6 linked regions of the Coturnix japonica genome follow. The protein of the gene in region 1 purifies or fractionates together with the protein of each later gene. This does not show direct contact. Links are inferred from orthologs where the notes say so. Each region holds a gene or a part of one and is shown in the gene's direction. Other genes may lie near its edges. The genes, in order: MORF4L1, ACTL6A, EPC2, ASH1L, KDM5A and GATAD1.

What was found.
Region 2: the proteins of MORF4L1 (region 1) and ACTL6A purify together in Homo sapiens (affinity purification with mass spectrometry; 6 studies listed by BioGRID and IntAct, with this or other methods). This does not show direct contact. The link is inferred for Coturnix japonica from reciprocal best matches to the Homo sapiens genes MORF4L1 and ACTL6A.
Region 3: the proteins of MORF4L1 (region 1) and EPC2 purify together in Homo sapiens (affinity purification with mass spectrometry; 5 studies listed by BioGRID and IntAct, counting the BioPlex papers as one, with this or other methods). This does not show direct contact. The link is inferred for Coturnix japonica from reciprocal best matches to the Homo sapiens genes MORF4L1 and EPC2.
Region 4: the proteins of MORF4L1 (region 1) and ASH1L purify together in Homo sapiens (affinity purification with mass spectrometry; 4 studies listed by BioGRID and IntAct, counting the BioPlex papers as one, with this or other methods). This does not show direct contact. The link is inferred for Coturnix japonica from reciprocal best matches to the Homo sapiens genes MORF4L1 and ASH1L.
Region 5: the proteins of MORF4L1 (region 1) and KDM5A purify together in Homo sapiens (affinity purification with mass spectrometry; 5 studies listed by BioGRID and IntAct, counting the BioPlex papers as one, with this or other methods). This does not show direct contact. The link is inferred for Coturnix japonica from reciprocal best matches to the Homo sapiens genes MORF4L1 and KDM5A.
Region 6: the proteins of MORF4L1 (region 1) and GATAD1 purify together in Homo sapiens (affinity purification with mass spectrometry; 7 studies listed by BioGRID and IntAct, counting the BioPlex papers as one, with this or other methods). This does not show direct contact. The link is inferred for Coturnix japonica from reciprocal best matches to the Homo sapiens genes MORF4L1 and GATAD1.

The regions. Positions count from the first base shown.
Region 1 is NC_029525.1:17,834,149-17,837,648, reverse strand, and holds part of MORF4L1 (mortality factor 4-like protein 1), read left to right. Parts: intron 1-1,180; coding exon 1,181-1,206; intron 1,207-1,628; coding exon 1,629-1,717; intron 1,718-2,019; coding exon 2,020-2,121; intron 2,122-3,096; coding exon 3,097-3,185; intron 3,186-3,500. UniProt on the Homo sapiens protein: Component of the NuA4 histone acetyltransferase (HAT) complex which is involved in transcriptional activation of select genes principally by acetylation of nucleosomal histones H4 and H2A.
Region 2 is NC_029524.1:15,354,701-15,358,627, reverse strand, and holds the start of ACTL6A (actin-like protein 6A), read left to right. Parts: upstream 1-1,127; 5' UTR 1,128-1,265; coding exon 1,266-1,290; intron 1,291-2,263; coding exon 2,264-2,340; intron 2,341-2,560; coding exon 2,561-2,735; intron 2,736-3,339; coding exon 3,340-3,440; intron 3,441-3,927.
Region 3 is NC_029522.1:31,160,690-31,164,189, reverse strand, and holds part of EPC2 (enhancer of polycomb homolog 2), read left to right. Parts: coding exon 1-73; intron 74-333; coding exon 334-466; intron 467-1,754; coding exon 1,755-1,946; intron 1,947-2,267; coding exon 2,268-2,357; intron 2,358-3,033; coding exon 3,034-3,179; intron 3,180-3,281; coding exon 3,282-3,500. UniProt on the Homo sapiens protein: May play a role in transcription or DNA repair.
Region 4 is NC_029540.1:1,741,180-1,744,679, reverse strand, and holds part of ASH1L (histone-lysine N-methyltransferase ASH1L), read left to right. Parts: coding exon 1-2,778; intron 2,779-3,500. UniProt on the Homo sapiens protein: Histone methyltransferase specifically trimethylating 'Lys-36' of histone H3 forming H3K36me3. Also monomethylates 'Lys-9' of histone H3 (H3K9me1) in vitro. The physiological significance of the H3K9me1 activity is unclear.
Region 5 is NC_029516.1:52,336,210-52,339,709, forward strand, and holds part of KDM5A (lysine-specific demethylase 5A), read left to right. Parts: intron 1-356; coding exon 357-491; intron 492-3,500. UniProt on the Homo sapiens protein: Histone demethylase that specifically demethylates 'Lys-4' of histone H3, thereby playing a central role in histone code. Does not demethylate histone H3 'Lys-9', H3 'Lys-27', H3 'Lys-36', H3 'Lys-79' or H4 'Lys-20'.
Region 6 is NC_029517.1:20,625,708-20,629,854, forward strand, and holds the start of GATAD1 (GATA zinc finger domain-containing protein 1), read left to right. Parts: upstream 1-1,347; 5' UTR 1,348-1,453; coding exon 1,454-1,645; intron 1,646-1,719; coding exon 1,720-1,845; intron 1,846-2,060; coding exon 2,061-2,120; intron 2,121-3,031; coding exon 3,032-3,215; intron 3,216-3,882; coding exon 3,883-4,073; 3' UTR 4,074-4,147. UniProt on the Homo sapiens protein: Component of some chromatin complex recruited to chromatin sites methylated 'Lys-4' of histone H3 (H3K4me), with a preference for trimethylated form (H3K4me3).

The DNA.
Region 1 (3,500 bases):
GGTCATTCTTAGAGTATTTTATGTGGCCTGCCTACACCTCTTTGCTAAGACTCTGCTAGGCTGACGCTCTAAAACTGTTTTCTATCCTGACAGCAATTTTCTGAACTCCATTTTTGCTTGTTCACTGTAGGTTTGGAAGGAAAGACACACAAGTGTCACTTCACGTGGTGATGAGCTTCCAAAGAAATAATAATGTGCTGCTACAAAGCTTTATCTCATCATCTGGGATCTGGCACGCAGAATTTCTTTTACTTTCTGAGGGGTTTAATTGGACTCCTGTTAATAATAAACAAATGGGAACAAGGCTGGTAATGCTCTTAGTTCCAATTTTCTTAGTAAATGAATAAAATCAGTGAATATACCAAGTTCAAATAATGAAAACCTGCTAGGGCAATTTAATTTTTGTTTCTAATATCTCTGGACTTATCTGAATATTTGCATATAGCAGGCATTGCATGGCAGGTGTCTGTAAAATGTTTGCACGTAAGTTTCTCAGTATGACCCTCAGTTTGGAATACAAATGAGGACTGGGGGAAGTTTGAAGTATGTACAGCACATTTTGGGAGCAGCATCTGGAAGAAGATAAATATTAGGGACGCTGCTATTCAGTGTTGTTCCAGATGTTACGAGTGAGAGGCATTGTGATCTCAATTGTGATCTCCCCTGAACTTTGATGCCATGATAGGCAGTCCATGCAATTTGATGCACACAATGAATTCTGATGGTGCTGCTGAAGCGGTGAAATCATTCTTCCAGTACTCTGCAGGACAGTCAGTTGGCTGAGCTGTCTGATGTTCCCTTGTCCTTTGTTCTGTCTTTGAGAGATCTCTGAAATGCTGAAATAGCACCTCTACAAGCATTTGGGAAATACGAAGCATTGGTGAATGTTCCTGGGTAATGATGGCTAGGAGTGCTTTAAGATGCTTGTTTTTTGGAACTACTCATGGCCTGTCTTCTGTAGATTTGAGTTGAATTAATCCCCAAAAAGAGAACACCACCCTTTGTTCCACAGGAATCTTGAAGCATCAGTATTATGGTGGTAAATAATCTCCTTTTGTTGTTTTCTAAATTCTTTGTAGGCCCCTGAGTGTTTGTGGATCTGAACTTACTGTACTTCTGGCTTTCAATTCGTTCAGTACTTTCATTTTTATGTTTGCAATAATTTGTGTTCTTCTTGCAGGAAAACAAAAAAGAACAAGCAGAAAAGTAAGTACATCTTTATTGTGTGTGTAAGTGGATATACTTTGTTAGGGAAGGATTCTTAGCTGGAATAAGACCTTAAATCTGCCCCCACTGAGTTTAGTTCCTGTCAACTTATGGTGCTTCTCCTGGACTTCAGGTGTCTCTTCTGTATTATTTGCTAGTTAATAAAACAGGACTGTATAATTTGCTGCTTTGTACATGGACTCTTCCAGTCTGTCATGATTTAGACCCCTTGGAAATAGAATGGTATTCCCATTGATCTGCTGAAATAATTCTCACTATTAAGTCAAACCTCAGTTTTCATACTGGGATGGGACATGTCTGCATAGCTGAGTTGTTGGTTCCAAAAGTTCCTTTTTTTTTATTGCTATTTCTTATGGCCTTACCAGACTTCTTACACAGCACACTGTTTCTCTTCTGTACAGCTCCTGGAATTGGAGAAGGGAGCAGCAGCAGTGAGACTCCTCAGCCTCCTAGGAAGAAAAGGGCACGAGTAGATCCAACAGTGGAAAGTGTATGTGTGTATGATTCTCCTACAGGATTTTTGATGGGGAACAGAAGAGCTGCTTTGCTCAGAAACACAGACAGCAGTGCTTTATCCTGCAGTATGGCGGTGTGAATTGTTACAGCTTCTTGAAATGCTAGGCCTGCCAGGTGGCCTTAAAACCTGAGCTATTTCCCTGCTCCCCCAAGAGATGACTTAGCAGTTCTTTACTCCTGTAGTGTATTTCCTTTGTGGAAAGGATGGGATGAGTGCCTTATCTCAATTGGTTATCTGAAAGTAATTAGTGTGAATCCACTTTCTTTTTTCCCCAGGAAGAAACATTTATGAACAGAGTTGAAGTAAAGGTGAAAATCCCAGAAGAGTTGAAACCGTGGCTGGTAGATGACTGGGACTTGATCACCAGGCAAAAACAGGTAATTTTAGAATTCATATCTCACTTGAGTGCAGTGCAGCAAAATCCCTCATAGAGTTTGACAGAAGCCTTACTTGACAGTTCTGGTTGCAATTGGATTTTACCTGAAGGTCATCTGTGAGTTGGACTGTGCAGCAGAATTGTGTGCAAGTTTGTAGACTGTAATCAGTCTAATTGGGCATAAGCTCAATGTCAAGTAATTACAAGTTTTGTGATGTTCCTCTAAGCGTGTTTGGCCTATTGGAATGCCTTGAAAAGTTTGCTTAGGTGACAGAATTAGTCTGTATGAGCATTACAGGTGATGTTCTGTCCTGTCTTGTTTATGCATCACTCATTCAGAAAGCAACTGAAGCATCTACAGCTCTGACTAAATATGGTCTTAGAATAGTGATTTTTAGCTGTGCTGCCAAGCTGGATCTGTATAAAGACTCCTGATAGAGCAGTTTTGCCTAAAATAAACTGTCTTCCATTGTAAGAAATGTAATATTTTTTCAGGAGCTTGTTAGTAAGTGAAATGACTTTGCATTCTTCTTGCCAGTTGTACTAAGTGTTGCTGAAAACTGTTCATTATTATTGGTCCCAGCAGGTGCCCAGCAGGTTTGTTTGCTACCAGTCCTGGGTGCTGAACTGGATGCAGGAAGCAAAGCAAGAAAAATAGTAGTCCAGGCTGCTGCTGCTTGTACAGGCGTGGTCTGTGGCCTGGTGTAGGCAGGTGTGCTGACATCTGTCTGCTTTGCTGCTTACCTTTGATTCTTGGGTTGCTTTAATAGTTCATCTTCAGGTTGATTTTAAGTTGCAGAAATGCAAAATGAGAACATGAATGTGGCTGCTGTTAGGTGTCTTGATGTGTACCACTGAACCAGCTGGAGTTTTAGCAATGCTTTACACACTGACTTGTTAATTTTATTCCAGAATATCTGTATGTCTATCAGTTTAAGTTTGTCAGTTTGTATTTTCGGTTTTGTGTCTTCCACAGCTCTTCTATCTTCCTGCCAAGAAGAACGTTGACTCTATTTTAGAGGATTACGCAAACTACAAGAAATCTCGAGGAAATACTGATAACAAGTAAGTAGCAGTCAGTTCAGATCTCAGTTCAGATCTCAGTGTTGTCTCGTTGTTGTTGGATGTCTCGTTCATGAAGAAACTTGCAGAGTTGTTAATCATACCTCAGTGCTGTGCTCAGCCTGGTATTTGAGACCTAGGTGGTCCAGGCCTTCAAGGACACCATTCAAGAACACAGTCCTACATCCAGAACATTTGCTCTCTCCCTGCGTTCTGCCCCTTCCCTGGCACTTTTTCCTAAAGGAAGCTGTTGAAGCCACCTCGGTGGTTCTCTACCCATTGTCACCCAGTGAACAGGAGTCTACTGTTGCTTTGAAT
Region 2 (3,927 bases), on another chromosome or scaffold:
CCAGGCAATTGCTGAGCAGGAAAGATTGGTCGTGCACAGGAACGCCCTCTCCCCATGCTGCACAGCCACACGCCTCTTCTGCTGGCACCACTGGGAGATCTCAAGTGCTGCAAAAGTTACAGATAAATGAAGCAGCAGACGGCTGTCTTGGTGTCTCACAGAATGACCTGGGTTGGAAGGGACCTCAAGGATCATGAAGTTCCAACCCCCCTGGGCCCCCTGTCTCACCCACAAAGCTATCATAAGCCACTCTTGGGGAGAGCAGGGTCTGCCCCAAAGCATCAGTTACCACAGGGATGTTATGAACCACTATGAAAACAAAGCCCAAGTACAGGCACAAGCTGAAGAAACGTCCCCCAGTGTTTTAACACCCATTTTGCTTTACAGCCTTCCCCAACTGCAATTAATTCATCCTTCTCCACCAACTCTACCTTGGGTATTAGTGCCACGTGCTAGAAATCACTATAACACATTAAAGGGCACCATAAAATAAATCAAAGCACACCAACATTACACAGTACAACTAGTGGCAAAGAAAGATTTGTGCTGATCTTCCTCATGCAAACACCTATAAAACTCTTTGAAAAGGCTGACAATAGCAGGACATGGGGAAATGGTTTGAAGTTAAAAGAGGGAAGATTTAGGTTGGATGTTAGGGGGAAGTTCTTCACTAGGAGAGTGGTCAGGCCCTGGAACAGGCTGCCCAGGGAGGTTGTGGATGCCCCGTCCTTGGAGGTGTTCAAGGCCAGGTTGGACGGGGCCCTGGGCAACCTGATCTAGTAAAGGTGTATGTTTGGTGGCCCTGCCATGCAGGGGGGTTGGAACTACATGATCCTTGTGGTCCCTTCCAACCCGGGTCATTCTGTGATCCTGTGGCACACCCACCTCAAGAGCTCCTCCCTCAGCTCCTCCCTCAGCTCCTCCTCCAACTCCTCCCTCAGCTCCTCCCGCCCCTCTCTCCTCACACCGCCCTTCCCGCGCACTGCACCTACACTTGCTTGCTCTCACTCTCCTCTACCAAGCTCCTCACTTCCCGCCTCATGATTGGCTACTCATAAGCAAGCCCCTCCTCCCTCCCTTCTCTGATTGGCCGCTGTGCCCACTCAGCCGTTCTGTTGGGTAACGCTCTGCAGTGCGGGCGGGTGGGCGGACGGCGGCGGCGCTGCCATTGGCGGGAAGGCGCGGGCCTGCGAGCTGCGCTGAGCCGGGCGGCGGGGCGAGAGACCGAGTGCTATTGTTAGCACAGCGCTGAGCAGCGGGCAGCCATGAGCGGCGGTGTGTACGGCGGAGGTGAGTCTGATATAACGACACTGTTGAGCTCCCTCAGGCCCGGCTCCCTCCCGCCGCATCGCTCCGTGTGTGAGGAGAGGAGGCCGCCGCGGGCCCAGGGTCCGTCCGACCCGTCTGGGTCACCTGCAGGGATGGGGCACACACAGCAGTGCCAGGGTCTCACTGCCCTCTCTGAAAAATTGCCCCCTAACATGCGACCTAAATCTCTTCCTTTAGTGTGGAACCATTCCCCATCGTCCTGTCACTATCAAACCATGTAGAAAGTCAGTTTCCCTCTTGTTTATAAGCTCCCTGTAAGGCTGCAACAAACTGTCACTGGCACCTTCTCCAAGCTAAGCAAAGCCAGCTCCCTTTCTCCATAGCAGAGGAGCTTCAGCCCTTTGATTGTCTTGACCCTCCTCTGGACTCACTCCAACATCTCATTCTTATGCTGGGGGCCACAGGCCTGAATGTGGTACAACAGATGGGACTTGGCGAGGGCAGGGCACAAGGGGATGGTCACCTTCCTTGCTCTGCTGGCCACCCCTCCCCTGATGCAGCTCAGGATGCTGTTGGCTTTCTAGGCTGAAAGCACACACTGCTGGCTCATGTCCAGCTGTCTGAGTCTCAAGTCCTGTGCAACACCTTGTACGTGGCCTTGTTGAATGTCATGAAGTTCATGTGGACTCGCTTCGCAAGCCTGTGTTTAGATGCAGCTCTCGTCTGTTAAAATTGCCCTTTTTCTTTTGCCAATGAAAGGTATTGCAGTGTCCTGGTTACAGCCTATCTGTAACCTCCTGGTGGCTCTCAGTTAGCTTGAATTCTGAATAGAGAAATTGCTCTGTGTCTCAGGAAAGATGCTTTATCATATTGGGCTTTTTTTTGTTTGTTTGTTTGTTTTCTGGCAAGCAAAGCAGACAAGAGATAAGTTCAGGTCAGGATTGCAGTAGAGCACAATAACCATTCACTACTTCTTTGTTAACAATCTTTGCAGATGAAGTTGGGGCTCTTGTTTTTGACATTGGCTCGTATACAGTGAGAGCAGGCTATGCAGGCGAAGACTGTCCAAAGGTAAGAATCTTTATGAACTCAGTGGGATTACAATTGGAGCTTGAACTTGTTTATTAGTCATAAGCTTCCAGAATATACTGTTTATTATTATTTAAGGAAAACTCTGAATTTTATTAGCCCCCTAAAAAACAAACCAATGAAAAACAAAACCAAAAACCAACAAAACAACCCACATCCAAAATGAATAACCTTCATCAATATTTTACCTTTTGCTTTACAGGTTGATTTTCCAACAGCTATAGGCGTGGTGCTAGAAAGAGACAATGGCAGCACTCTGATGGAGATAGATGGTGACAAAGGCAAACAAGGGGGCCCAACGTACTACATAGACACCAATGCCCTGAGAGTCCCAAGGGAAAATATGGAGGCCATTTCACCTTTAAAAAATGGAATGAGTATGGTGCTCTGTCTTTTTTAGCTGTCTTTAAGATACAATTGTTAGGCTGCAACAAGTCATAGCTTTCATGTAAACAGATGCTATCCATGTCAACTGTTTTTTCCTTTGGACTTAGAAAGCAGGCTCGTAAAGAAACGGTTCTGCTTTCACTTAAGATATTTTAATACGATAATGAGCATTTTTATGTCTTAATGGGAGACTTGTAGATTCTTGTTTATTTGATGGCTTTAATTTAGCTGTCTCCTTTGATAAAACAATTAAGAAACAAGTTTTTGGAAATAGTTCCTAATATTGTTCCTGTAACGTGTATGGACAGAGGCTATCAGCCATAAGAATGGCTCAATTTACAAAATGTCAGTGGACTTTTATTGTAACTTATTTATTTATTATTATTTATAATAACAATTCTTATTTGCTGTCATGATGCTTAAAAAAATATAGATGAGAATTTGGCAAAGCAGGAGGGGTATAGGGCTGCTGAGGACGGCTTTTGTCTGAAGAGCTCTTAGGAAAAAAAAAAACATCAGGAAAACTTTATGTGGATTTATGAAGTAGATCAAAAGTTAGAAGTAACTAATCTGCTTGCTTCGATGTCGTTGCAGTTGAAGACTGGGATAGTTTCCAGGCAATTTTGGATCACACTTACAAGATGCATATTAAATCTGAAGCGAGTTTGCATCCTGTCCTTATGTCTGAAGCACCAGTGAGTAAAAGGAGCTTTGCATTGTGAGGAGACTTATCAGTATCTTCTTGCTGAATCTATAGACATTAGTCTTGGAGAAACCCAGCACTGGCTTGTAGGTTATGAGTGTTAAAACTGAACTACAGAAGTAACATTTAAAAATATCATGCAGGTTCTGGAAAGTATTCTCAATAGGAAAAATGTCAAAAAAAAGCCCAAATTTGAAAGAATTTCTATGCGTTTCATTAGAACACACTTACTATGTGTTACTGTATTTCATGTATTTAAAAAAAAAAAAAAAAAAGTAGTATAAAATCAAAAATAACCTCACTTGACAGCACAGAATAAAAGCAAAAAGTTGTCTGAATGTCTTCATATATTACACTTAATCCATCTTTGCATGCAATCAGCCTGCCATCTAACGTGACAGGGAATAACACGTGTAGTGGAGTTTTAATTTCGTTTCAGCAAATGCTCCTGTAACATAAATGAGGTGCATGAACACAGA
Region 3 (3,500 bases), on another chromosome or scaffold:
TGGAGATGATTAAGAGGAGAGAGAAGACAAAACGCGAGTTACTGCATTTAACGTTGGAAGTTGTAGAGAAAAGGTAAGCTCACAAATTATGTCACTTATAACTCTAAGGTTTTACTTCTCATTAAATAGGTTTGATAACAGCTCCTGTGATTTATTCCTACATGGATGCTCTTCTTTTGCACACATGCATGGCTGGAGGCATGTATTACTTATGTAGACTTCAGAAGCTGAAACAGAAAGGTTTTTATGCAGCCTCTTTGCCTGTTCCTTGTTCCTCTGATGTTTCCCAGTGGAAATAGACTATTTTAATTAACTTTTTTTTTTTTTTTTAAGATACCATTTGGGTGATTATGGAGGTGAAATTCTCAATGAAGTGAAGCTTAACAGACCTGAAAAAGAGATGAGCACAACTGCATCCACTCTTCATAATGGAAATCATCACAAAGTTCAAGAATGTAAAATTAAGGTAATCTTCCTTCTGCTTCAAGTCTCCTGTTGCCTGTACCCTGCAGGTGTTTGCGTTAGAAAATTGTCTAGCAGATTGATATGCTTGCTGTGTTTAACATCTAATTTTTTTTCTCACCTAAATTTTAAAAGAATTGGCCATCACCCACCAAACAAACACCTCTGTGGTAGCCTTCATTTTTTTCTTCTCACAGTTCTGTCCCTTTCACTGTATGGTGATGTGAACATGAATGCTGTAAGCGTGCAAAAGAACAACACTGAGATGGCCAAGCAGTGAATTGTTTTCCCATTGACAGGCACTTAGAGCACTGCCTTTTTCCTGTACTATTGTCCATGAGTACTGGTTAGCCCTCAGTGCAAAGACAGTCTGCTGATTTACAGCAAGAATACTGGAGGATTCTAGGAGCTGTTTGGAATTGTTGGAGTGCTATAAAACACTCATCTGTAAAGCTCGGGAGTTGAAGCCCTTTTGAAGTTTGTATTTAGCACCTGCGACACCCAGTGGTCACTGGATGTAGTACAGATCCCTTCCCTTTCTCTGCTGGGAATTGTGCCTGCTGTTTCTCATCTCTGGTTTATGAAGCTGAACTGGAGTTAGTTTCAGTCAGGCAGCTACTGACAAGTGGTAATTTGGGGGAAGAATTAAAGAGTTTTTCAAAAAGCTTCTCTGGCTTTTACTCATTAATTGAAAAATTTGGAAGAGAAAGTAATCATTAATTGGAGAGCTTTGAAGCTGTAAAACGTTTGTGTTCAAATAACAGTTTAATATTGCTGCAGTTGCTTACTTGATTGCTGGAGAGGATTAATGTTAACAAAATCTTAAAAATTAAATAAAAACATTGCAAAAACTAGTAGCATGAGATCTTACAAGAAACACAAGCCATGTGAGAACTGGAGAACATAGAATGTTTCTTGTGAACAGATTTGAGCAATTAAGAAAACAGTAAATTCTTGGCATAGAAAACTGAGACCTCAGAAAGCAATTGAAATAGGCTTTCCAATTACAGTATCCTGAGAGTGATGAAAAGAAAGGAACCTCTTAATGTAGTCACATAGCATGAAAGCTTTCAGTTTACTAATAAACTTCTGTAAAGACAATTGGAAGTAAGGTTTTGAGGTCTCCAGATGCTTTGAATAAATTTTGCAGTGTATCTGATATTGTCCACTAGTGCAGCATGTTGAGAGGCCCTGGAAGATGAGCAGTCATGTTTTTCTAAGCCATGAGGTGAAGAAACAATATTAATTACATGCTTTTATTTGTTGGAACTCTTCCTGTTTTTCACAAACAGCATCCTCATCATTCATCTCTAAAGGAGGAGATATCAGATGTTGTACGTCAGAAGAAGAAGTATCTGAAGAAACCGAAAATGGAGTGTGTGGTAACTGCTCAACAGCCCTCTGCTGAGCCCTTGCCTGTTATCAACAAGAGTGATATCAAGCAGTATGACTTCCACAGCTCAGATGAAGATGAGTTCCCGCAGGTAACAGTCCATTACAATTTCTTTTAGCCTACAGAAAGTGGAGAACTCAGCTATCTGGAATATGGACAGGATAGCTTGAAGTGGAGAATAACTGTGTTGGACAGTTTGCAGAAGCTCTTTGAGTTTATTTCATCTTCCAAATTGTGTTTTGGAGAACTTTATATATTATATAAACCAATATTTATAAAATATGTCAAATGCAAACTTGTATAAAAATACGCTTTTACCATATTAGTCAATTGGATGCTATATATTGTATATTTTAATATCTGTATTATATACATATGGCAGTTGGAAGAATAACTTTGCTTTCTGGCTTAGGTACCCTCACCGGTATCAGAAGCAGAAGAGGAAAATGATCCTGATGGACCCTGTGCTTTCAGGAGAAGAGCAGGATGCCAGTATTATGCTGTAAGGCTAACTGCTGTCGCATTTAGTGTGTTGGGTGTTCTTGTTTTGTTTTTGTTTCATTGTCATATTGTCAGCGGAATAGTTCTTTTAGTCCCTTTTCGTTATGAAAATCTTGGTGATGGTGACTCCAAAGAAAATCTGAGTTTTTCACAAGAATGTTTTTCCTTGTGCTGTTCCTCTGACTTCCTAAAGGTAACACAAAGCATTGCCAGCAGCCTAGTTCAACCACTGTTTGAATGGGAGGACTCCCACCCCTTCCATATGTTCCCCTTGGTTCTCCTAACACATCCTTTGTTCCCAGCTTATAAAGCTCATGGGATGCTACTTGTCTTAGTTCTCAGATGTGGGCGCGTTAATTGGAGTTGGTTGTAAAAGCAAAATAAAATTTGTGACTGTATGGTCTTTAAGGCTGCCTATTATAACTCACTGGAGAAGTAACTGAGTTGCCAGGTTGTCTGCTCCAGAAGCCCAGACAACCTCCCTGAGTACTCAGGTTAGATCACAGGCATCTCCTACAAGTTGTGTTGCAAGTTGTTTGCACAACTCAAATGTGTGCTGGCATCTGCTTCTGTTCCTGCCATGCAGGTGTTTTGCTATTGTGATCACTCAGAGAATACCACAAACTACTTTGTGTTTTCAGAAATGTGCAAAATTGTCTCTCCTTTATTCTTTCCAGCCTCGTTTGGACCAAACTAATTCTTCCTATGAAAATGCAGAATTGGCAGAATTGGACAAACTGAGGTTCAGGCATTGCCTTACAACCCTTACAATTCCAAGAAGGTGTATAGGATTTGCAAGAAGACGAGTTGGCAGGGGTGGAAGGTACGATTGCATTGTTTTCACTCTGTTTCCCTTCAAAGTATAAAAGCATATATATATATGAGACATAAATAACATCCTTTCTTTTTCCATCTCTTAAATCAGGGTTATAATGGACCGAATATCCACAGAACATGATCCTGTCTTGAGACAGATTGACCCGGAAATGCTGAATAGTTTTTCAAGCTCTTCCCAGACTTTAGACTTTTCTTCTAATTTTTCACGGACCAATGCTTCCAATAAACATTGTGAAAACAGACTGTCCCTTTCTGAAATACTAAGCAATATCAGATCATGTCGACTGCAGTGTTTTCAGCCAAGGCT
Region 4 (3,500 bases), on another chromosome or scaffold:
TAGAAAGGTCAGAGCTTTTTAAAAACATTTCATACAGTGCACTATCCAACAGTAATTTGGAGCAGGCCAAATTCTTAAAAAACATAGGGTCGTCTTCATTCGTGGAGCACGAATTTGTTAAGCATCAGCTGCCAAAACTGAACGAGGGTAGTGGACAGTCTCTTGCACTGCTAACCGAGTCTGACAAGCAGACTCCAAAGTTCTACAGTGCACACAAACAACCTTCAAGTTTGTGTATGTCGGATGATTTCTTACCTGACATGTATAAACCTAAAAGAGGAAGACCTAAATCCAAGGAGATGCCCGAGCTTGAAGGTCCCCCCAAAAGAACTCTAAAGATCCCAGCGTCAAAAGTCTTTTCGGTGCAGTCAAAAGAAGAGCAAGAACCTCCCATTTTGCAGCCAGAGGTGGAAATTCCTTCCCTAAAGCAGAGTTTATCGGGACAAGCTTTTCCTAAAAAGAGGGGGAGGCCTAAAAGGCAGATGAGGTCATCGATCAAAATGAAGCCACCAATTCTTTCTGTAGCACCTTTTGTTGGAACAGAAAGCTCAAACAAGATAGAATCTGAAAGTGATCAGCATCGGAGCGGGGAGTTTTTTGAGAGAAAGGACCAGCTCCGAGGACCAGAAGATGTCCAAAAACCTAATATTTGTAGCATGAGTGATTTGGAAGGAGACTCAGACAGAAAAGTTGCCAAGAGAAACAACGGGCAGTTAATGAAAACTATTATTCGGAAAATAAATAAAATGAAAACTTTGAAGAGAAAGAAACTTTTGAATCAGATTCTCTCGAGTACGGTGGAACCAAATAAAGGGAAAGTGCAATCTAAGCTCCACAACACGGTGTCGACACTCGCCGCCACTTTCGGTTCAAAATTAGGCCAGCAAATTAACGTCAGCAAGAAAGGAACGATTTACATAGGAAAAAGGAGGGGAAGGAAACCCAAAGCTGTCCTGAACGGTATTTTAACTAGTAATTCTGCCAGTCTGACAGTTCTTGAGAAATCTTCCCAGCAAACTCCCGGCACATCATTTGGCCAAGTACTTCCCCACTTGCTGCCTTCAGCAGCTAATAGTTCCGAGATTCTCCCATCCCCTGTTTGCTCCCAGTCCTCTGCAGTCAGTGGGGGGCAGAGCCCCGTCAGCAGCGACGCGGGATTCATCGAGCCCAGCTCGGTGCCGTACTTGCACATCCACTCCAGGCAAGGAAGCGTTGTTCAGACACTCGCAATGAAGAAAGCTGCTAAGGGAAGGAGGAGATTATCTCCACCCACGTTGTTGCCAAACTCTCCTTCTCACTTGAGTGAGCTGACATCGCTGAAAGAAGCCACTCCTTCCCCCGTGAGCGAATCTCACAGCGATGAGACCATACCCAGCGACAGCGGGATAGGAACAGATAACAACAGCACTTCAGATCGAGCCGAGAAGTTTTGTGGGCAGAAAAAGAAGAGGCATTCGTTTGATCACGTTTCCCTTATCGCACCCGAAGCTTCCACGGTTTTAAGTAATCTCAAAGAAAAGCATAAACACAAATGCAAGCGCCGGAGTCACGATTACCTCAGTTATGACAAAATGAAGAGGCAGAAGCGGAAAAGGAAAAAGAAGTATCCTCAGCTTCGAGGTAGGCAGGACCCGGATTTCCTGGCTGAATTGGAAGAGTTAATCAGTCGATTAAGCGAGATTAGAATAACCCACAGAAGTCACCATTTTATCCCCCGAGATCTCCTGCCTACCATTTTCCGGATAAATTTCAATAGTTTCTATACTCACCCTACTTTTCCTTTAGATCCGTTGCACTACATTAGGAAACCTGATTTAAAGAAGAAGAGAGGCAGGCCTCCGAAAATGAGGGAGGCTATGGCAGAAATGCCTTTCATGCATAGCCTCAGCTTTCCTCTCTCCAGCACCGGGTTCTATCCCTCCTATGGCATGCCTTACTCTCCTTCCCCCCTCGCAGCTGCTCCCATAGGCTTAGGTTATTACGGAAGGTACCCTCCGACTCTTTATCCCCCACCACCTTCTCCTTCTTTCACCACCCCGCTGCCACCACCCTCCTACATGCATACAGGCCATTTGCTTCTCAATCCCACCAAATACCACAAGAAAAAGCATAAACTTTTACGGCAGGAGGCTTTCCTCACGACGAGTAGGACTCCGCTCTTGTCCATGAGCACGTACCCCAGCGTTCCACCCGAGATGGCTTATGGCTGGATGCTGGAACACAAGCACAGGCATCGCCACAAACACAGAGAGCATCGTACATCCGAGCAGCAGCAGGTTTCCATGGACACCATCACGGCTAATAGCTCTTCAAGAACAGTCCTGGAGTCCTTGAAGCGCTACAGATTTGGGAAAGAGGCTGTCGGTGAGAGGTACAAACATAAGGAGAAACACAGATGTCACATGTCTTGTCCCCACCTGTCGCCTTCAAAGGGATTGCTAAGCAGAGATGAACAGTGGGTCCGGAGGGAGCCTTCGGAGTCTAATTCCTTAGCACTGGGGTTGCAGACGCCGTTACAGATAGACTGCTCAGACAGCTCCCCAGGTCTGTCCCTGGGGGGATTTACTCCCAGCTCCGAGCCGGCCAGCAGCGATGAACACACAAATCTTTTCACAAGTGCAATAGGCAGCTGCAGAGTCACAAACTCTACCAGCACCAATGGACGTAAAAAACTAACTGACAGCCCCGGACTCTTCAGTGCACAGGACAGCTCGCTAAATCGACCGCTCCGAAAGGAACCATTGCCTTCTATTGAAAAGGCACTGCAGCCACTGTCAGGTAAGGGAGCTCTCATTGTATCACCACATGAGTCTTATGGTAAGCTCTAAAGCAGCTTGCATTGGGAAGGCAGGCAGCGATAGATTTGGCTTTGTGGAAGTTTTTTCTGTGTTGGATTTTAGGACTACCATTGTTTTGATGGAGGATTTCTGTTGTGTCAGTGCACTGTTCTGCTCAGCTTCTGGCACAGATTAATGGGAAGTCTCCTATGTACAGGGCTGCCTAAGTACCTTTTCCCACCAGATTTGCATTGCTTAGTTGTAGAAGCATACAAAGTTTTCTAGGGATGTTTTCTCATTCAAAAGTCTTTTCTTTTTCCTTACGATTTCTGATCATTTTAGAAACCATCTTTCTGCTTGTTTTGAAGTTTGATGGATTGATTTTAGGCTAGCTATGGGTACTAGTACTGTGAGCAACTTTTCCATTAAAGAAGATGTTCCGTATTTCTTTCATGACTCGATTTTAGGTGTTCTGATAATTTTTCCTGTAGTTTGGCTTTGATCCTTGAGGCCTTTTGCAGTACCTCCAAACAGCTGCAAAATGATCCTGGGAATGCCCAAGACCAAACATTGTAATGACTGTTTTATTCGTAGCTAGGAAGCTCATCTTACATATATCCCTAGATGCAACTGAGACTGAGCACAGGAAATGGCAGTGGCACCAGCAGAGGATTTGCTGTTCAAGGACCTCCATTCTGCTGTGCTAAGAAATGCTGAGCGTTT
Region 5 (3,500 bases), on another chromosome or scaffold:
CAAGTTGGGGTATCATGTTCCAGTATTTCACCACCCTTGTAGTGAAGAAATTTTCCCTTGTATTTAATTTAAATCTAGCCTTTTTTTCTTATTTTGAAACCATTACCCCTTGTCTTCTCACTAAATTCCCTGATAAAATTTGCTTATCTTTCTTGTAGGTTCCCTTTAAGTAAGACTAAACAACTTCCATGCCCAGGATGCCTGGATTAATCAACCTCTTGTCCAAATGGCTATGTGCAGTGCTGTGTGACTTCAGTCATTGGCTTATTTCTTAGTTAAAGAGGCTGGTTTACAGACCATAGAATGATCAGCACTACCTGATTGATCGACTGGTGTTCTGTGCTCTGACCTTCTAGGGCATCCAGAAGCCTAACTTGAACCTTAAGGAAAAAGTGGAGGCTGAGGACCTCAGCTCAGATGCCCAGACTTCACCAAAGCAAGGTTCGAGAATGAATGTTGTGCTGAAGAGAACCAGACGTGTCAAGTCCCAGGTACCCTTATTTCTTGGTTATTGCAGAGAACCCTTATCCCTTCTACCAGCAAAGCAATACTGGGAGTGTGGCAGCCTTTGTTTGTGGAAGCCTGCTCAAAAGCACCATGAGAAAGAAATCTTTACTTAAATAAAATCTAGAGAAAGATGTCTTGCTGAGACTATGCTTGAGGTAGATGTGCAGTTTAGAAGTTTTTAACTTCTAAAACCTGTTTGTTGTTTGTTTATATTTAGCCGCTGTACTTTGGTAGAGATTGTGAAAACTAAATGGTTCAGTTCTACCAGCTCCCTGTTGGCCATTTGATGGAGCTTGAGTGAAAGGTGGATTTACCTTTAGAACAAATTCTTACTGTTTCATATCATTCTATATTTGCTTTAAACATCGTGAAGCTTTGTCAGATGTGGTTAAAATTCTGTTGTATTCTTTTTCCCCAATACATTTTGCTTGATAACTGGGTTTATAAAGGACACTTAATCTCATCTTTGTCTCTTATGTCATGACTGATTCCGACTAAATTGTCCCTTTTAATCTATTCTCTTTACTAACAGAAGCTGACTTGGCATTATTTATTGCAGCCACATAGCAGTGCATCAATCACACAAGCAGTCCTATGCTTTCCAATTTATTTATTAGTGAGGCGTCCAAAAAATACCCTAAGGATGCTGCAATTCCTGCGGCAGTCATTCATTGTGTGGAATTCTGCTTTGAACTAATCTCAAGGGATAGTGCCAGTGTGACCTCTTTCCTCCTGCATGGTGTAGAAGTGTCACTGTGTTATTAAGATCCTGTAGGACTTTTTTTTTTCTGGTACTTCTTTCTTTAGAGTAACTCTTTTATCTCATTGGAAGAGCCACTTCTATGGTACTTCTGACACAACATGGCTGCTTAATTTCATCTAAAGGTGCTGCATTTTTTAAAAGAGAGAGGTGATTTCACTTGAATGGTCTGTCAAAAGTCAATGCATATGTATGTAAATGCCTTCTAGAAGACCTATACACACATTATCTTTTAAGTAATTTAATTATTAAAATAGCCAAACTTAATTCTTCAATAAAGGAAGAACTCAGCCTACTCACGTAGCCAGAGGAGTATTTCTAGGCTGTGTTGGAAGCTATGTATAAATCTGGAACTGTGTTTAGAAATAGAAATTTGTCCTCATGATCCCCAGACTGCAGAAGTATAAGATCCGGAGAATGCTAAGAGATCGTCCTAGATTTCAATACCTTGTTATTATAGATAAGACTCTGCTTATTGTTTGAAGTACACATCTGGAATTGTACCAGAAAATTAGGTGTTCTGGAGAATGCAGGTAATAAGCAAATAATGTAAAAAGAAAAATAAACCCAACCTGCTAAATAAATGTCATTCTGCTCTAGCTGCTGTATCTCAGTGATTGTGTTGTTTGCTGAGTTGTCCGTTGCCTGGTTAGTGAGCACTGCTGATTACGCTGAACACTGCATCTCAGCAGATTGTTTTCCAGAGTTAAAAGTATTCTTCCAAAATGATCTGCATCTTATCTCTGCTTGCGACTTACCTAAGAATGGGAGATACATGAGAAATGATGGAGGTGGTAACTGGAGGTTACTGAAGTAAACCAGGATCCTCAGAAGAGGCTGACAGATTTTAGAAAAGCGAATGTTTTAATTTTTAAAGTTTAAAACAAGAAAAAATTGAAGGAAAATAGGGAATGAGAATTCTCCTGTGTGAAAGAAGGACTTTTTTTTTTCCAAGAAGGAGAATAGTTTGGTTATGAAAAATTCTCCTTAAAAAACAGCCATCAAGATTTATTTTCTATTCCTTTCTTCTGAAGAAAGCTATCAAATAAAAAACAATGGAGAAGGGTAACTGAAATACTTGTGGGCAAGAACAACAACAAACAGAATGAATTTAGATTACAAAAAGAGATAATCTTTAAAGTTCGGTTAAATTCTGTGTTAGAAAAAAAGTGAATGTCTTCACTTATTGTCTTTTAGGATGTATTTTAACTGACAAGGGAATTTATCTAATGAGGTTACATCCTAACAGTGAAAACAATTGTGGGCAATGTCTGCTTTCAATATTCTGTTACAGACATGGATGGTTTAGAACAGCAATTAACAAAATAGAATTCCATAAACAGCAATAGTTCTGTGAAATGATAGAAATCTGGGAGATGCTGATATGCCCAATGTGCACAAATATTCGAACACTTGATTGTAACTGTTCTCATCATATTATATCATAAAATCCTAGACTGGCTTAAGTTGGAAGGGACCTTAAAGCCTACCCAGCCCAACCCCCTGCTGTTGACAGGGCTGCCACTGAACAGCTTAGCTGCCCAGGGTTCCATCCAGCCTGGCCATGAGAGCCTGCAGGGATGTGAGCTGCTTATCAGTGATTTTCCCTTACACAAGGAAAGCCCTTGAGTTGTACTTTCTGTTGAAGAGATAAAAAAACAAAGGTATTCCTACGTCTTTCAGGAAGAAGAATAGAATTTCAGTTTAATCAGGTTTGGTTTTGCTTTCTTCTGTTATATAAGCAACAAAACAAAAGTAAGAATGTGGCGTTTTGTACTATTAGCTGTGGAAAGAATGGCAAGGAACGTTTTCAGTGTTTTTGAATTCAGTGTTTATGTGCTGTTTTGGTGCATACCCCAGAGAATCTCATTGAGGTTTCTGAGTGATTTTCTTTCACATCTAAAACAATCAGACAGCCTTGCAGTATTTGTAAGTTTTATACAGAAAGCTGATTTTTTTAAAAATGCATTTCTATTTCAGTATATAACCTGGTTGGTTTGTTTTTTTTGCCTGAGTGTGAATTTGTTATATCCATTTTGTTTCAGTTGAATCCAAATAAATATAAGCAGTGGAGTTACGAAAACATATTTAGGGAATGCATTTTTAATCAAAGCTCTAAAATCAAAGGGAGGTTGTTGCATGTTATTTAATTTAGTAAATATGGTAGTCAAACTATTTTTCAAGTGTTATTGAGAAAATTGTTTTAAATCACAATAGCAGGAGGGAAACTGTG
Region 6 (4,147 bases), on another chromosome or scaffold:
GGATCCTCAAGAGCTGTTTGGGTGAAGCAGAAACAGCAATATGTGAAGATAACAGATAATCAGGAAACCTGTACTGCCTCTGCCACTGCAATGTGCCTTGGGCCAGAACCCAGCGACTTCCAAAATGGGGCTGGTTCTTGGCTTTACCATGCTTTTGAATGAGGAATTAAGACCTACATGTTGCCAAGATATGTGTGCTATACACGTAAAAACTCTCCAATACATTTCAAGAATAGTGTCCCTTATAGCTGAGGTAATTAAAAGGAAAAAAAAAAAAGCCCTAATAAGAGAGCTAAGGAGCACATGAACCTTAGCACAGGACCATGTGGAAACCCAGACTGCACCAGTCGGGCAGTTGTGCCCAATTACACGCATTCACAGCACAGATATCTCCAGACCAGCCCTCCAGGTGCATCCTCTGCAGACAGACACAACACTAATAATGACTCTTCAGACAGGAGCCAGCAGATACAGGAAGCCGAGAGGAAGCAGCGCAATTAAATTATTGCAGAATAATTAAACTATGTAAGCAGGGGATGCATGGAGCATATGTGGATACGCAGCACTTCTAATAGTAAGGGTGTATTAAAAAAAGCGTGTCCAGCAGGTCGAAGGAGGTGATCCTCCCCCTCTACTCTGCCCTGGTGAGGCCTCATCTGGAATATTGTGTCCAGTTCTGGGCTCCCCAGTACAAAAAAGACAGGGATCTCTTGGAAAGAGTCCAGCGGAGGGCCACTAAGATGGTGAAGGGCCTGGAGCATCTCCCCTATGAGGAGAGACTTAGGGAACTGGGTCTGTTTAGCCTTGAGAAAAGAAGGCTGAGAGGGGACTTGATCCAGGTTTATAAATACCTGAGGTGTGGGAGCCATAGTGGTGAGGCTGGTCTCTTTTCAGTAGTGTGTGGGGACAGGACTAGGGGTAATGGGATGGAAGTACAGCATAGGAAGTTCCGCACGAATGTGTGGAAGAACTTCTTTACAGTGAGGGTGACGGAGCACTGGAACAGGCTGCCCAGGGAGGTGGTGGAGTCTCCTTCTCTGGAGATATTCAAGACCCGCCTGGACGCCTACCTGTGTGACATGGTGTAGGGAGCCTGCTTTGGCAGGGGGGTTGGACTGATGATCTCTAGAGGTCCCTTCCAACCCCTACAATCCTGTGATTCTGTGATTAACCATCACCATCTGAAAGCTCACAGGAATAAACGATCCTGCTCCGTTGTTCAGGGAGCGCTCAGCCCACACTATGTGGAGTCCACGAGCAGAGCGGCGATGCCGATTCCCCCCGCATGGCGGTGCAGGCAGCACAGGCCGGGCCGTGCCGCGCTCCTCCCTTCGCGCCGCCACGCAGCGACATCCGCCGCCGGGGAGGGGCCGAGAGCGAGGCGGGCCCGGCGGAGCCGCCGCGTTTCCCCGTGTCCCTGCCGGGGGCCGCGGGCCCCGCCGCCGTTCTCAGTATGCCGCTGGGGCTGAAGCCCACGTGCAGCGTGTGCCGCAGCACGTCCTCGTCCATGTGGAAGAAGGGCGGGCAGGGCGAGATCCTGTGCAACAACTGCACGGCCCGCTCCGCACCAACCGGGCCCGCCGCCTTCGCCACCACCTCGGCCGCAGCGCAGCACAGCAACGGCGGGGGAGGCGGAGGGAAGCAGGTGAGGCGGGGCGGCTCCATTGCGGCGGCTCCATTCCATTCCCGCTGTGTTTAACCCTCCGTCCCCTCCCCCAGAGCAAGCAGGAGATCCACCGGCGGTCCGCCCGGCTGAGGAACACCAAGTACAAGTCCGCGCCTGCCGCCGAGAAGAAGGTGTCCACGAAGGGCAAAGGCCGGAGGCACATCTTCAAGCTGAAGAACGTAAGGCGCTGCCGGGGCGGGCGGGATGCGGCCCGGAGCTCTGTGGCCCCAGTGCTCCTGTGTAAAGCACGGACGGCTGCGGCTCGTTTCCCGTGTATCCAAACACTGCGAGTCTCCGTCAGTATGTCATCGGCTTTAAAGGGCGAGAAAACCCACCCTGCAGTTAGTTCTCTTGCTTTGCTTTAATGCTCTTCCATCTGTGTTGTTTTCCCCAGCCCATCAAGGCCCCTGAATCCGTATCCACCATCATTACCGCAGAGTCGATCTTCTATAAGGTACAGCCCCCGTACACCAGAAGGATCTTACTCACCCTTGTCTCCCTGTGTTCATCAGAGAGGTATCAGCTGGCCGGGCTCCCACCTGGGCTGTGTGTGAGTGGTCCCAGTGCCCTGGTAGTGAAGTGCACCAGCTGCTCCAGTTTAAGCTGTGTTTGGATGGTGCACTCGGAAACAGGGCTTGAGTTTTGAATGGCCCTGCCTGGAGCCAGGAGCTGAACTGCTTGATCCCCTTGGGTCCCCTTCCAGTAGTCCAGTCTTGACAGTGCAGACACTGCAATGTGTTGACACGATGTTACGACACCAAGTGATGCTGGCCTTGCTGTGCAGCATTGCGCACTGACTGACGCCTGACCTAATCAGGAGGTGACTGTGTTTTGAGGCTGCTTTGCACACAGATAGATGAACTTCATGTGCAGAAAGCTGCTTTCCCTGCATGCACAGGGCGATTGCTGCTATTGCTTTTTATGGAAGGTGGCATCACACTACTGACATAAAACCATCGATGCTGTGCAGGTGGGAGGTGCAGTGGTGGTGGGAAGGGGGGATGCAGAGCAATTGAGAGCTGCAGAGCAATTGAGAGCTGGTTCTTTGAAGGTGGGTGATGCCAGGCTGCTTCTGTGGCCTTTGGCAGGCAGAGATGGTGAGGAATTACCTGTCGAGCTTCAAAAACAGTTCAGGGACTGAACTCAAAGTTCCAGACATTGGGTGGTTGTGGGCAGGTCGTGCTGGTGACTGCTCAGGTGTGACAGTGCTCTGGTTTGTGCCACCTTTCACTGTATGTGGGAAAACTATGGCTGTATTGAGATTGGGGTAATTTGAGATAGTGTAAGGTCATGATATTCAACATGTGAAACAGAGCGAAGCTTCTGAAATCAGATTGATTTGACTTTCGTTTGTGTGCCTTCTAGGGTGTGTACTACCAAATAGGAGACGTTGTTTCAGTAGTTGATGAGCAGGATGGCAAAACGTACTACGCCCAGATCCGGGGGTTTATCCAGGACCAATACTGTGAGAAGAGTGCTGCGCTAACATGGCTTATTCCTACACAAGCCAGCCCCAAGGACTGCTTTGACCCCGCATCCTATATCATAGGTATTCTCTAAGCCTTCATTGCATACGACTGCTTACATGTTCCCAGACTAATGCAGAGTTGTAACTTTAAGTGTACTTCATTAGTTTGTCATGGTCCTTTATGTCATTCCTACATTTTAGACCCTAATCCATTTACTTTACTTGAATACTTTTTCAGGTTCATGTATGTGAGCAGCACTGCTGCAGTGAGTGCCCTTGTTTACTTGTGCTCAAGCGCACAATTACAGTGTCAAAACTCTAAGGATCCAACTACTATTCCTCAGGTAGAATTCAGGTTATTATGACATAAACTAGATGTGCCAGTCCAAGCTGTTTCTTCTGGAGTGACCAGAATTAGTTGATTTTAATCTTGGATATATAAAGTACATTGTGTACAAGCACCGGCATAGAGAGTGTTCTGCAGCTGGTTATGTATTAATAAGTTGAGTAAATCTTTCTGACAGGCAAGCACAAACAGTGTAGTATAGTATAGTACAGTATAGTACAGTATAGTATAGTAAGAATGTGTTCTTCAAATAGAAAAAAAATCAACCCAGTAGAAATAAAGAGGTTTCTCACTGGTGCTGTAGCCTCAAATACTGTGCAAAGTAGTTTTGTATCATCTTGGACTCTTCAATTTTATGCCTTCAGAATTTGTATTTGAAAATCCTTATGTTTTTTCCCATAGGACCAGAAGAAGATCTCCCACGGAAAATGGAGTATTTGGAATTTGTTTGTCACGCACCTTCGGAGTATTTCAAGTCTCGATCGTCTCCCTTCCCTACCGTCCCCACAAGACCAGAGAAGGGGTATATATGGACTCATGTAGGACCTACCCCTGCAATCTCCATTAAAGAAACTGTTACCAATAATTTATGATTTTTTAAAGGAACACTTCGGACCAGTTGTTTTCAATATATTCTCAGGTTTGCAAATCCCATAGGAGAAGTTTG